Linked DNA regions of Sus scrofa. The protein of the gene in region 1 binds, or shares a complex with, the protein of each later gene. Links are inferred from orthologs where the notes say so. Each region holds a gene or a part of one and is shown in the gene's direction. Other genes may lie near its edges. The genes, in order: NCOA6 and lysine-specific demethylase 6A-like.

Region 1 (6,528 bases):
GTTCACCCATGTTATAGCATATGTCAAAATTTCCTTCCTTTTTAAGGCTGAATAATATTCCATTGTGTGTATACACCTCATTTTTGTCTATCCATCATCTAATAGACATGTGGGTTGCTTCCACCTTTGGCTATGGCGAGTAATGCTGCTATGAACATGAGTGAACAAACATCTGTTCAAGTCCATGCTTCTACTTTTGGGGGATAAGTATCCAGAAGTGGGATTGCTGGATCAAATGCTAGGGGTCGAATCAGAACTGCAGCTGCCCACTTACACCACATCCATAGCAACTCGGGATCTGAATCGCATCTGTGACCTACACTGTGGCTTGTGGCAATGCCGGATCCTTAACCCACTGATCGAGGCCAGGGATCAAACCTGCATCTTCATGGATACTAGTCAGGTTCTTAACCTGCTGAGTCACAATGGGGACTCCAATGTTAATTTTATATCTAACTTTTTGAGGAAATTTCAAACTGTTTATAACACAGGAGCATAGGTAAAAATTTATTACGTATACACTTAAGCTGTTTTCATTTTCCTGTATGTAAATCATACCTCACTTTTTCAAAGTAAAAAGAAAAACCTTAAACAAAAATCTTCCTAGGCTCTTGTACAAATCCTTTCGATGTTAATTTCACGGGCTCAAGTATCTGAAGTGCCCTCCTTTGGCTGCCTATGTTTTTCATTATCTTTCTCCACACTTTTGGGGATTCACACACAACAAATATTTATTGAGCATCTCCTTTGTGCCAGGCACTTTGCTATATCATGAGGAAACAGCAGTAAATAAGATATATAGTCTTCCTCCTAATTTGGTCCACAGCCTCGTGAAGACAGGCAATAAACAACCCAGTAATCCTACTGAGGGCAAGGGGAACCTGTCTGGGGAGTTCTCAGGGAAGGTGTACTTGGCGTAGTGATGTTTGAACTAGGATCTGAGGCTGATGAATTATCCAAGGAGGGGGGATATTTCAGGTGGAAGAATCAGTATGTGCAAGGTCCTGAGAAGAGAGGAAGTACAATGTGTGAAGGTCAGTGTAGTTTCAGCCACTCCAGAGAGGGGAAGAGGGCCTGAGAGAAGTCTGGAGATGTGGGAAGGGCAAAAGTGAGACAGATATTTGGTCTTTATCTTTCTTTTTTTTTCTTTTTACGGCTGCACTGCATTCTGAAGTTCCCAGGCTAGGGGTCAAATTGGAGCTGCAGCTGCCGGCCTGTATCACAGCCACAGCAACACCAGATAGCCACATATGCGACCTACATCACAGCTTGCAGCAATGCTAGATCCTTAACCCACTGAGCAAGGTAAGGAGTTGAACCCACATCCTTATGAATGCTATGTAGAGTTCTCAGCCCTCTGAGCCACAATGGGAACTACTATTCAGCCTTTATCTTTTGGAAGTTCCCAGGCCAGGGATCGCACCCACACCACAGCAGCAACCCAAGCCACTGCAGTGACAACGCTGGATCCTTAACCTGCTGCGCCACAAAAGAACTCCCATTTGGCCTTTATCTTAAGAGCAGTGTGGAGCCATCACATAGTTTTTTTTTTTTTTTTTTTTTTTTTGCTTTTGCTTTTTTTAGGGCCACACTTGCAGCATAGGGAAGTTCCCAAGCTAGGGGTCGAACCAGAGCTACAGATGCCAGCCTAAGCCACAGCTATAGCAATGCAGGATCCTTAACACACGGAAGGAGGCCAGGGATGGAATCTGCATCATCATGGAGCCTAGTTGGGTTCCTTAACCGCTGAGCCATGAAGGGAACTCCCCATCAAACAGTTTTAAATACAGGAGAGGCATGATCAGATTTCTTAGAAACATTACTCTAACAGGAGGGTGGAAAAGAGATCGAAGGGGAGCTAAGGAGAACATGAAAAGGCCTTAGATGGCTACTTCACCAGTCCGGGCACACACAGAGTGTGTGCTCAATAAATATTTGTGGAATGAAAGGATTCTTTTTCTTAGATAAGACTAGTGTGCCTGAGCTGTGCAATCTAATATGATGCTTGTAACAGACCTTTAATTTCCATTTTATAGATGAGAAAGCTGAGTTCAGAGGCAGAGAAAATCACATAGCTATCGAGTGAAAGCCAGATCCGAATGCAGGCCTATGACAGACATCAGTGCTGGGTAGGCCTTCCTACAGTTGTGGAGAGGGGAGGGGGCCACACTCCCTTGTACCTTCAGAGCTTGGTAGGGCAACTGTGATGGGAGAAAGTAGAGAGGGACTTACAAGCAAATAATAAAGGCTAAAGTTTATCATCATTAACGTTATTACATACTATGTGTCAGGCACTGTGTCAAGCGCTTTCCATGCCTTCCTTCATTTCCTCTTTGCAAACACTATTATTATCTGTATATTTCATGTGCATAGATCGAGGCTTATGGAGAGTTGACCTGCCCAAGGACATTCAGCCAGAGGGCTCTTATAGGATTGTGCAGTGACTGCAAAGTGGAGGCAGAAGCCACTGACGACACTACCTCGTCGAGATACAAAACCAGCAGATCGCCACACTAAGCTCTATACCGAAGTGAGCGGGCGCGCGCTACCTCGCGCACTCGGAGACGTTTGGTCACGTGGCCAATTCCCCGCCCCTAGTCCGCCCCGCCCTCTCCCGCGCTCCCTCCCTCTCTCCCTCCCTCCCCCTCCCTCCCCGGCCCGGTCCGGCCCATCCCCCTCCCCGCCGGCTCCCTGAGGCCCAGCCGGGTCGGGCTGCGGGCGGCCGGGAGCCGACGGCCAGATAGACCCGCGCAGGCGAGGACGGACGGACGGACACACGGAGGGCCGCGGGCATCCACGGCCCGGGCCGGTGCTCCGAGGCCCGCCCGGGAGGGCTGGGGCCGCGCTCAGGTGAGGTGACGGCGACGCGGGCCCGTAAGGGGTGGGCCCGCCGGGCGTCCCTGGTGCTGGCCCGGTTAGCTTCGTGGGAAGGAGGCGCCGCCCGGGCCCGGCGCGGGAAAATGGCGCCGGCCGACCGTGGAGCACGGCCCCTGTGCGGGCCCGGCCCGGAGCCGCCCCGCCTGCCTGCCCGCCGCGCTCGTGTCCCCGTCGCCATGTTGGGGAGCGGGCCCCGGGCCTACGGGCGGGGGCGCTGGAGGGAGCGGGGGGCTTGGGCGGGATGGGGAGGGTGCAGGACAAGGTGTCTGGGGCGCTCAGGGAGTGCTGAGCCGGCCAGGGTCTGCACCGGGTGGCGCTCCAGGCCCGAAGAACTGGCGGGAGCCGGACGTGGGGTCGTGGTCGGGGTCGCGGAGAAGGGACGTTGGGTCCAAACGGAGCTGGGGTCTGGATCACTGGGGCTAGGAGAGCAGGATCTGGAGCTGGTTTAGGCAGTGTTCATGATCCCAGGCAGGTAGGGCGCGGAGGGGCGTGGGATCTGAGCTCAGGCTGTCAGGGCTGGGACAGTTCTTTGGGGTTGTGATTAGAAATGGGGGCCCTTTAGGTACAGACGCTGGTATCAGATTGGGGGCAGTCTTCGGAGTCTCAGGGCAAGTCCGTATAACTCCCAGGGGGCTGAGGACATATTTGCCCTCAGGATCCTCCACTCCTCATTGGGAAGAGGAACAGAATAAAGTAAGGCTTTGATGAGGAAAAGAGAAAAGGGGGACTGAGGTTTGGATGCAGGAGCTGGCCAGCAAGAGATGCGGAATGAAAGTGGTTGGCCAGAAGAGTCTCCATCAACTTTGGGAGTTTGTGTGTGTCTTTAAAAGGAGGGACCAGGCTGTTTGTGGGCGGTGACCCAAGGTGTCTTCCCAGGAAGGGAACAGCCCACTGTTTTAAGAGCAGGGTCACCTGGGGAGGTCATCCGAAAGGTGTTAGTGAAGCCAGTAGGAATGGTGCAGAGGAATGAATGTATAGTTCTTAGATCATGTAAGGATTTCAGATCATGTAGTGATTTTAGCTGAGACAGAAAGGAAAACATGACTTCTAAAGATCTAAGCAGTTAATGGCAGAAGAGGTACTGGAACTTAGCCTGCTGCTGTCTCATTCAACACATTGTCTTAGAGGAATTTGCTAGCTGGGAGAAATTGTTAGGGAGTCAAGCATGGCAGCATATGTCAAAGAATCATTAAATAATTTATTTTGTTTTTGTAATGAGTTTGTCTAGTACAAAAACTGAAAGGGATACAGGAGCCCAGTGGGTTAAGAATCTGACCACAGCAGCTTGGGTCGCTGCAGAGGTGCTGGTTCCATCCCTGGCCTGCACGGTGGATTGACGGATCCAGCATTGCTGCAGCTGTGGCTCACATTCTGTCCCTGGCAAGGGAAATTCCATGTGCTGGGGATGGGGCCATAGGAAACAAAACAAAACAACACTGAATAGGATACAAAAAAAGTATAGGTAACCAGCTATTTGATGAGAGAAGTTTCATTTGTCCAGAGAATTTATCTTTAGGACCCTTTTGACATCTAACTTTCTAGAGGTTTAAGAGCTGCTCCGTCTCTTTTAGGTGTTTACTAAACAGCAAAGGGACACAAAAAGCTTAAGAAGGCAATAGTAAACGATGGTAGAGACCCAGGATCTCTATCATGACCAAACTGTAATTGAAGTTTAATCATGGTAGAGAAGAATTCACAGTCCCCATGGGCTATGAGGGAATTCTGAGAGAAACTGCAAATTAGTCATATAAGTAATTCCAGGGCTCCCACATAACAAAAAGGACTTTCAACAAAAAGGTTATGAGGATGTTTGTAGCAATAAGATTTTCAGTATATGTCCAGTACCTGTATACAGCAACATAATTTATTTGTTTTGGGTCTCTCTATGCTGGAAGGCCTAACTTTGTCTATGCCCTTTAGCATCTAGCAAAGGTTATGGATTCTTCTCAGAATAGTTTTTAATTGCATAAAATAAAATACATTGGAGTATAGAGAAACCAATTAATATTGAAATACCTAAGTATACAAGTTGTGATATAATAATACAGATATATGTCCAATAATTATACTTTTAAAGATGTGATGAATATCTGTAATTTTTAAGATAGCTGTAACAACTGTAATATAAAGATATCTGTGATTACTGTGCAGAGACACAGATACTGCTAATACCAGATGGTTTATTGCCTACATTCATATTTGAAGAAAATAGTTCCTTTTGGTTAGAAGTCAGTGAAAATAAAGAGGTAATTTTTTTTCCTGTCCAAGTTCACAGATGCCCCTGAATTCTGTCTGTGGACTCCCATGTATGAACCTCAGGTTAAGAAACCACAAAGAATGTCTTCCATTCAAACCACATTTATTGTGCCCTAAGACATCTACTTAGGTCAACCACCATGCTAGGCTCTGAGGAGTCTTAAGGTCTTTATAGCAAGGCAGGGTGTTTTCACTTTGGATATTTAGTCCCATGAGAGAAGTGAACATGTAAACAATGACAGTTCAGGATGGTAAGCGCCAAAGGAGAGTTACATGAAGGATACAGATGTAGGTATGTAAGTAGGTATGTAGGTAGTAAGAAGGACACAGAAGAAGGTATGTCTCTGCTCTAGGAATCCGGGAAGGCTCTGTGAACAAGTGACCCTTGATGTGTGTCCTGAAGGGTAGAGTAGTTTGCCAGATGCAGAATTGGAGAGAAGAGCTTTCAGGTAAGGGCATGCATGGGAATGTAATGTAATGTGGCTGGAGCATAGTGTGTTGTGAGAGTGGTTGGAGATGAGACGGGGAAGGTTGTTTTGGGACCTGATTGTGAAGGACCTTGTTAAGGAATTTGGACTGAATCCTTGGATTTTAGAGAGGTAGTCAGAGTTTTCAAGGAGTTACAATGAGGTTTAATTTTTAGGGGATAAATGGATGTGTTTTGGAAGGAGCGTGAACAGGATAGCAGGGAAGTAGTCATGAGGGCCTGAACTAAGGCAGAAACTGTAAGCATTGAACAGAGTTAGAATTTTCACGTATTGATATAATTACGTTGTGAGTAGTGAGAGAGAGGGTGAATTTTTTTACATTTCTAGTTTGGGATGATGGCTGTCAAAGAAGTTTAAAAAAAGGTTGAAAGGAAAATGAGAGAGAATTGTCTCAGATAATAAGGGAAAGATGTTTTTGGTAGAGTAATAGACTTTTGGAAGCCATTGCAAAGCTGTCAAGAGTGATGTCGTTTATTGCTTAAGAAAATCAGAGGTGTCAACAGTGAAAGACTGGAAGTATTCCTAGAGTGTAAGAAATATCACAGCTGTCAGTGTCAGAGGTTGGCAAACTATGGTCCATGGATCAAATCTATTCCACCACCTGTTTATGTAAATAAAGTTTTATTGCAACATAGGCACACATTAATTTACATATTGCCTTTGGCTGCTTTCACGCTGCCAGTGGCAGAGTTAAGTAGTTGTGACAGAGAATATTTAGCTCACAAAGCTGAAAATGTTTACTTTCTGACCGTTTGCTCATGATGTTTGCCATTCCCTAATCTATGTAGCTGAATGTTGGACATTAAACTTCTGATTTACCATCCAGTTCCTATATGATGGCACTGTCTTTCTGGTTTGGTCCCTCATACTCTGTGTACCTGCAGCATGACATAAACCCTTGAATATT
Region 2 (6,861 bases), on another chromosome or scaffold:
CACCACAGCTCATGGCAATGCCGGATCCTTAATCCACTGAGCAAGGGCAGGGACCGTACCCGCAACCTCATGGTTCCTAGTTGGATTCATTAACCACTGCACCACGGCGGCAACTCCTAGACTATAAACTACTAAACTAGAGGTAGTACAGTTACTATTCTTCAAAGAGCAATGAAAATACGGGTGCAAAATACTAGGGATTCCAGAGCTCCTCATTAAATGTGTTAGAATTTATTGAGTCATCTATCTCTAAATGAAACAACATAATTTGTCTTAGGACTTAGACAAGTAAAGTAATTCTTTCAGCAGAGAAAGAATTCAGTAACAGAGTGACAGGTAAGAAGAGTTTATCAGCGTTCCCGTCTTGATGCAGTGGACAACAAACCTGACTAGGAACCATGAGGTTGCATGTTCAATCCCTGGCCTCTCTCAGCAGGCTGAGGATCTGGCATTGCTGTGAGCTGTGGTGTAGGTCACAGATGCTGCTCAAATCCTGCGTTGCTGTGGTTATGGAATAGGCCAGAGGCTATGGCTCTGATTTAGCCCCTAGCCTGGGAACCTCCATGTGCTGAGGTTTCGGCCCTAAAGAGCAAAAAAAAAAAAAAAAAAAAAGAAGAAGAAGAAAAGGGTTTATCAGTACAGGACATTTCTGAGATTTGTGTGAAATACAAGGAGGAAGGCAAAGGAATGCCAAGCTGAGAACTTAATAGCTACAGTTCTAAAATCAAAGGAAAAGTGGGGAAGGGGATTAAGACCTCCTTCTTCCTCCTCCTCTAAATAGTAGCAGATATCAAGCTTCCATCATCAAGTTTGGGGGGGGGAGTTTTCTTGTCCCTGTCTGGTCAAACTGGGACTGTCATGGCACAATGGAAATGAGCAAAAAGGTGATAATACACACTAACATATGGGAAATCAGCTCAGATTTCAGTAGACTGCCACTTTTCCCTATGTTTTTGTTTTTAGTGTGTACAGAGAAGCATGTCCTAGGAATCACTGGCTTACTAACCTCACTAAACAAGATGTAGGTCTCATTTTACTATTCCTTTATCATCTGGAGGCATATTTCATGCTTCTGTTCCATGGTTTTGCTGCTAAGCAAGCCTGCTTTCTTGCATTACCATTAATTTATATACCCCCCAATTTTTTTTTTTTAACAATCCCCTAATAGGATCAACTACTTAATCACCTGTTTCTGCCCTTTAGTCTGTAACTATCATAAACTGTCCTCCTCTTTATGTAAATCAAAGTTTAAATACATTTTGTCTGTTTTAGATCAAGGGAAATTTTCCCAAAACTAAGTATTTCAGGCAACTATTTTTAAAAAATAAGCATTTTCCTAATCTTACAAGTATTTTTTAAGATACTTATTAAAAGTTAGCATTTTTCAGGAGCTCCCGTCCGTGGCTCAGCTAAAAGGAATCCAACTGGGAACCATGAGGTTGCGGTCCGATCCTGGGGCTTGCTCAGGTTAAGGATTTGGCCATGTGGTGAGCTGTGGTATAGGTCATAGACCCAGCTTGGATCTGGCACTGCTGTGTCTGGGGCACAGGCCCAGCAGCAACAGCTCAGATGCGAACTCCACCCTGGGAGTGGGGTTGGGTGTGACCTTAAAAAGCAAAAAAAAAAAAGAAAGGGATTTTCCCAATTAATAACAACTGGAGGTACAGCGCAGATGATATTGCATAAAGTATCACACAAGAGTTGCCCGTTTTAAGAAAAGTAATTTACAGAGGCCTAATTTTCCCCACAATTGTATTATTTACAACCTGACAAAAGCAAAATAAGAAAGTATTGTTACGTTTTGTTTTCTAAGGCTTACAGCATCTCCAGTTAGGGTCTTAAATATTTCTTCGCAGCTTGGATCACCCGCCCATTTTGGGATCAGTGCGGGAGGCACCAACAACGTTTGGAGTTCTAGCTGGTCAGCCAGACTCCCCGAAAGGCTGCTGGGATCTGGTGGGTGGGCTGTGGTCTCAAGGTTCTTACCTCTCCCTTTACGACCCGGGATAGGAAACCCGGCAGGAAGAGTTAGTTAGGGCCGCGTGGTTATTATTTTCCAAAGGTGCCAAAAGTCTTGTCTTCCAGGATCGGAGGTTCAAGTGTTACACTTGTTATGATCCAGGTGGTGAGAGTTTCCATAATATTACAACGCCTGTGTCAGTGCCGCAGCTGAAAAAGAGCTATGAGTCCTCCATCTGTGCTGTCGTCTGCCGCAGTATCTTCTAGGTTTCAATCTTCTCCATCATTCCCTTCCTCAGCTTGTTATTAACGAGGCCGAGACACTCCATTTTTTACAACGATGTAGAACAGTTTGCTGTACATGTTGCACACCCTTTTCCAAATCAGCGAGTCCGCTAACCAATTTACCCACGAAAGTTTGCGCCCCTTCCGGTTCCTGTACGGGTCGGCGGTGACTTCGTGGGAGTGATTGGGTATCTAGCAAGTTCGGTTGAGCCGCAAGTGACGTGAGTCAACAAAGGTCACGTGAGGCAAGCCCTTCGCATCAATTGGCGGCGCCGGGTTTAGGGGGTGGGGGCGTCACGGTTACTCGGGGTTTGCCCGGTGACACGATTGCAACTTTGTGCGGGTGCTGGCGAAGTTTGTAAGTCTAAGATAGTCTTCCATTACAGCGGGCTTCCGCGTTTTCTGCTGTCATCGCATACTCCATGATGTGACCTCGGCAGCCGAGTTGCGCAGCGTGGGTATTCGCTGTTTTTGCTATCAGCTTGGGCTTTTTCATCACCGCCACCTGCGTTGCTTGCTATAAAGTTGGTTTGCCTGTGTGTAGCGCCAAGACCTTCTTTTCGCGTCCTGGACTGGGGTTTGGTACATTTCGGCCTTGAGAATTTTACATTTGTTGCGTTTCAATGAAATCCTGCGGAGTGTCGCTCGCTGCCGCTGCAGCTGTTTTCGGTGATGAGGAAAAGAAAATGGCGGCGGGAAAAGCCAGCGGCGAGACGAAGGAGAGTTCCCTCAGCTTGACAACCGAAGAGAAGGAGGCGCTTAGCGGAATGGACAGGTACGGACCGCTGTTACTCTCCCACGTGGCTACCGACCGGCTGCAACCGCTCATCGGGGTAACTTGAGCTCGAGTTACCTCTGGTGGCGGCGTCGTCCAAGTGGTTGCTGCCACCCGTGCCTCGGGATGGGGAAGGGACCGGTCAGTGGCTTTACTTACGCGTTAATAAGTTGTCTGTATTTTCTCCCATAGCCGCCTCTTTGGGTTCGTGAGCCTGCATGAAGATGGCGCCAGGACTAAAACTCTGTTGGGCAAGGTAAGGCAGTCTCGGGGGCCAACGCAGTCCCCCGCTTGTGCCCTGTTGTCTTTGCCACCTGCAGCCACTGAGGCGCGTTGTGGCAGAAAACGAAAAATTATTTTGCTCTCTTCTCACCTGGATACCTCGCTTACTGCCTGGCAAAATTCTGTATTGTTGCTTGAGCAGCAGAGACGTCGGGGTTTTCGGGCAACGCCTAACGGTTATTTTGGAGCATTTTCTTTAGGAAATGATTCCTGAATTTCAGTATCACAGAGTCGTGAACGTGTGCAGATTGAAATTTTTCAAATTCCCATGCGCTGTTCTTTTTTTTTTTGTTGTTTTCTTTTTTTCCCCTTTGACGGTCGGCTTGAGAGATCTGCTTTTAAGTGATCGTTTTAAACTTTAATTACTCATGTTCTCAGAAGGGATAGTTTGTATATCCTTTGCAACCGTGAAGAGTTTGAATTGGGTATTGAACCAGTATACTGATTGGTGTGTTTTCGAACCGGGTAAACTGTTTGTTTGGGTTTAGCTGCTTAGATTTATTGCTGACAATGCCAATAATCCCCCGCCCCCCCCCCGCCCCCAGCACCTTGTTTTTGGTGTCTGACATAGACGGGCGAGTTTTCTCGGTTTATCTGTGTAAAAAGTTATCGGCACTGTCACTTAGTTAATGGCTGCCCCATCGGCCAAGATGGCGGGAAATAGTGGGTGGGGAAATGACGACGTGAGTTTTGAAGGAGGGAAGAGATATAAACAAGGAAACGCTAGCGGTAAGCGTGCTTTTGCATTGGTTACTGTGTCTTGATGGTGCATAATAAAAATTTAGCACTGATATTTAAAAGTAGAATTCTTAGATTACCAAGCTTTACAACAGCATTCGTGAACCTAAAATGTGCTTTGCAACCTGGGATCTATTTAGTCGTAGTAAACGATTGCACAAATACCATGTAATCTCAGTTGCACAAATACCATGTAATTTCAATCTTCTGAGCAAAATCTAGTTAAAATATATTTTTCTTTCATTTCATTCCATGGAAGGGGGTCATATTTCCATTAGATATTTACTTTTCTAACCGAGACTGGTAGCTGTGAATTTGTCTTACCTTTTGCTCCATTTCAGAAGGACGTATTAAGTATGTATGCTTTTTTTGTTTTGGTTGCACCCACAGGCATATAAAAGTTCCCTGGATCCTTTAACTCATTTTTGCCAGGCAGGGGATGGAACATGCACCTCCACAGCAATCTGAAGTGCTGCAGTGTTATTTTTATTGCACTGACTATAGGTAGAACGCTAATAAATTTTATTTTTAAGTTATTTTTGACAGTTTCTGTTGTAGTTCAGCAGTAATAAGCCCAGCTAGTGTTCATGAGGCTGAAGGTTCAATCCCTGACCTTACTTGGTAGATTAAATATCGGGTGTTGCGGTGAGCTGTGATGTAGGTCCATGGCTGCAGGTCTGATTTCCACCTCTAGCCTGAGAACTATGCTGCAGGTGTGGCCTAAAAAAATTTTTTTTTCTTGTCGAGAATTCTGAGCTGTACTTGAATTTATGTAATCTTAAATTTTTTTTTAACCTGTAATCTCACTTTTATCTTTGTTTTTAAGGCAGAAAATGACCATGAGATAGTGTAATAATTTGTCATCCAATCCATTTAATAAAACTCGAATTAAGCTTTGGTCATGTAGGTAATTATTACTCCGTTAACCTTATCACTGGGAGAGTAAACAGTGACTTTCTCTGATAGTATTTAAGCAGCAGTGAAGTGAGCCAGAGCAATGATAATGCCGGACCCTTAACTGCTAGGCCACCAGGTATTGCCTATTTTTTTTTTTCTTAATTTTTATTAAAAAACTCAGTATTTAAATATTTTATCGAAGTTCCCATCGTGGCTCAGCTAGTTAAGAACACAAACAGTATCCATGAGGTTGTGGGTTCAATTCCTGGCCTCTCTCAGTGGCTAAGAATTAAGGATCCAACATTACCCTGAGCTATTGGCCATAGGGCCAGATGGACTTTGGTTCTTGCCTTTTTGTGGCTGTGGTGTAGGCTGGTAGCTGCAGGTCTGATTCAATCCTAGCCTGGAGACTTCTGTATGCTGCATGTGGTTTTGTTGTTGTTTTTTATTTTTTTAATTTTTTTTGGTCTTTTTTTTGCTATTTCTTGGGCCGCTCCTGCGGCATATGGAGGTTCCCAGGCTAGGGGTTGAATTGGAGCTGTAGCCACCGGCCTACGCCAGAGCCACAGCAACGCGGGATCCGAGCCGCGTCTGCAACCTACACCACAGCTCACGGCAACGCTGGATGCTTTACCCACTGAGCAAGGGCAGGGATCGAACCTACAACCTCATGGTTCCTAGTCGGATTCGTTAACCACTGCACCACCATGAACTCCCAGAATAACTTTCGAAGTAACTTTTTAAAAAACAACAGTTCCCGTCGTGGCACAGTGGTTAACGAATCCGACTAGGAACCATGAGGTTGCGGGTTCGGTCCCTGCCCTTGCTCAGTGGGTTAACGATCCAGTGTTGCCGTGAGCTGTGCTGTAGGTTGCAGACGCACCTTGGATCCCACGTTCTCTGGCTCTGGTGTAGGCCGGTGGCTACACCTCTGATTAGATCCCTAGCTAGGAACCTCCATGTGCCACTGCAGTGGCCCTAGAAAAGGCAAAAAGACCAAAAACAGAAAAAAAAAGAAATTCTGATAGACTGAAAAAATCTTGACTGTAAAGTAATGTTATTTCATGTTGTAGAGGCTTAATTTTTAACTTGTGTTGAAGTTGAATATACTGATGGAAATTTGAAAATGGGTGAATCTATTACTTTAATTTTTTGTTTTATTTTTTTTTGCTCTTTAGGGCTGCATCCATGGCATATGAAGGTTCCCAGGCTAGGGGTGGAACCAGAGCTATAAATGCTGGTCTACGCCACAGCCACAGCAAGACAGGATCCTTGACCCACTGAGAGGCCAGAGATCAAATGCACAACTCCAGGGTTACTAGCCTGATTGTTTCTGCTGGACCACAACAGAAACTCCAAATCTATTACCTTTGTGTGATAATGAAGAAAAAAAGAATTGTGATCTTTACATGGGTAATGTATATAAGTACTTATTCAGAACCTTGAATAACCAAATGATAAATCCTCAGTTGTTAATACTTAATATCAAGTAAGAGTTTAGTATGAACTATTTAGACACTGTGCAGTATTGGGTTTAAATTTTAAAGAATTATTTTCATTTATAACTATGAAGGAAAACATGTTTTAAATTACAGTAGCATTTTTAAATATGAGAAGGCTTGAATTTTCATATATTTGGAGGAATTGTAGCTTCATTGAATAACGTTATGTTTTGTTAAACTACTATGAATGTTTTTCATTCACAATAGAAATGGAAATAAAAATTAAACATTTAGCTTTGTGATTCTTGTGAATCTTTAAGACAAGACTCATTAACCTTAGTATTAAAGTACCTAAAAGTGCAATGAAATATTTTGGGGTCTGGGAGAAACCTTATGGATCCATCTCTTCCTCCTTTCCTAGCTTTATTGAGCTATAAATGGCATTAAACTAAAACAGCACATTTAACATGCACAACTTTATAA

What was found.
Region 2: NCOA6 (region 1) and lysine-specific demethylase 6A-like share a complex: the UniProt entries of both Homo sapiens proteins name them as parts of the MLL2/3 complex. The link is inferred for Sus scrofa from reciprocal best matches to the Homo sapiens genes NCOA6 and KDM6A.

Annotation. Positions count from the first base shown.
Region 1 is NC_010459.5:38,218,020-38,224,547, reverse strand, and holds the start of NCOA6 (nuclear receptor coactivator 6), read left to right. Parts: upstream 1-2,646; 5' UTR 2,647-2,850; exon of another isoform or gene 2,851-2,855; intron 2,856-6,528. UniProt on the Homo sapiens protein: Nuclear receptor coactivator that directly binds nuclear receptors and stimulates the transcriptional activities in a hormone-dependent fashion. Coactivates expression in an agonist- and AF2-dependent manner.
Region 2 is NC_010462.3:9,083,628-9,090,488, reverse strand, and holds the start of lysine-specific demethylase 6A-like, read left to right. Parts: upstream 1-2,518; 5' UTR 2,519-2,867; coding exon 2,868-3,019; intron 3,020-3,211; coding exon 3,212-3,275; intron 3,276-6,861. UniProt on the Homo sapiens protein: Histone demethylase that specifically demethylates 'Lys-27' of histone H3, thereby playing a central role in histone code. Demethylates trimethylated and dimethylated but not monomethylated H3 'Lys-27'.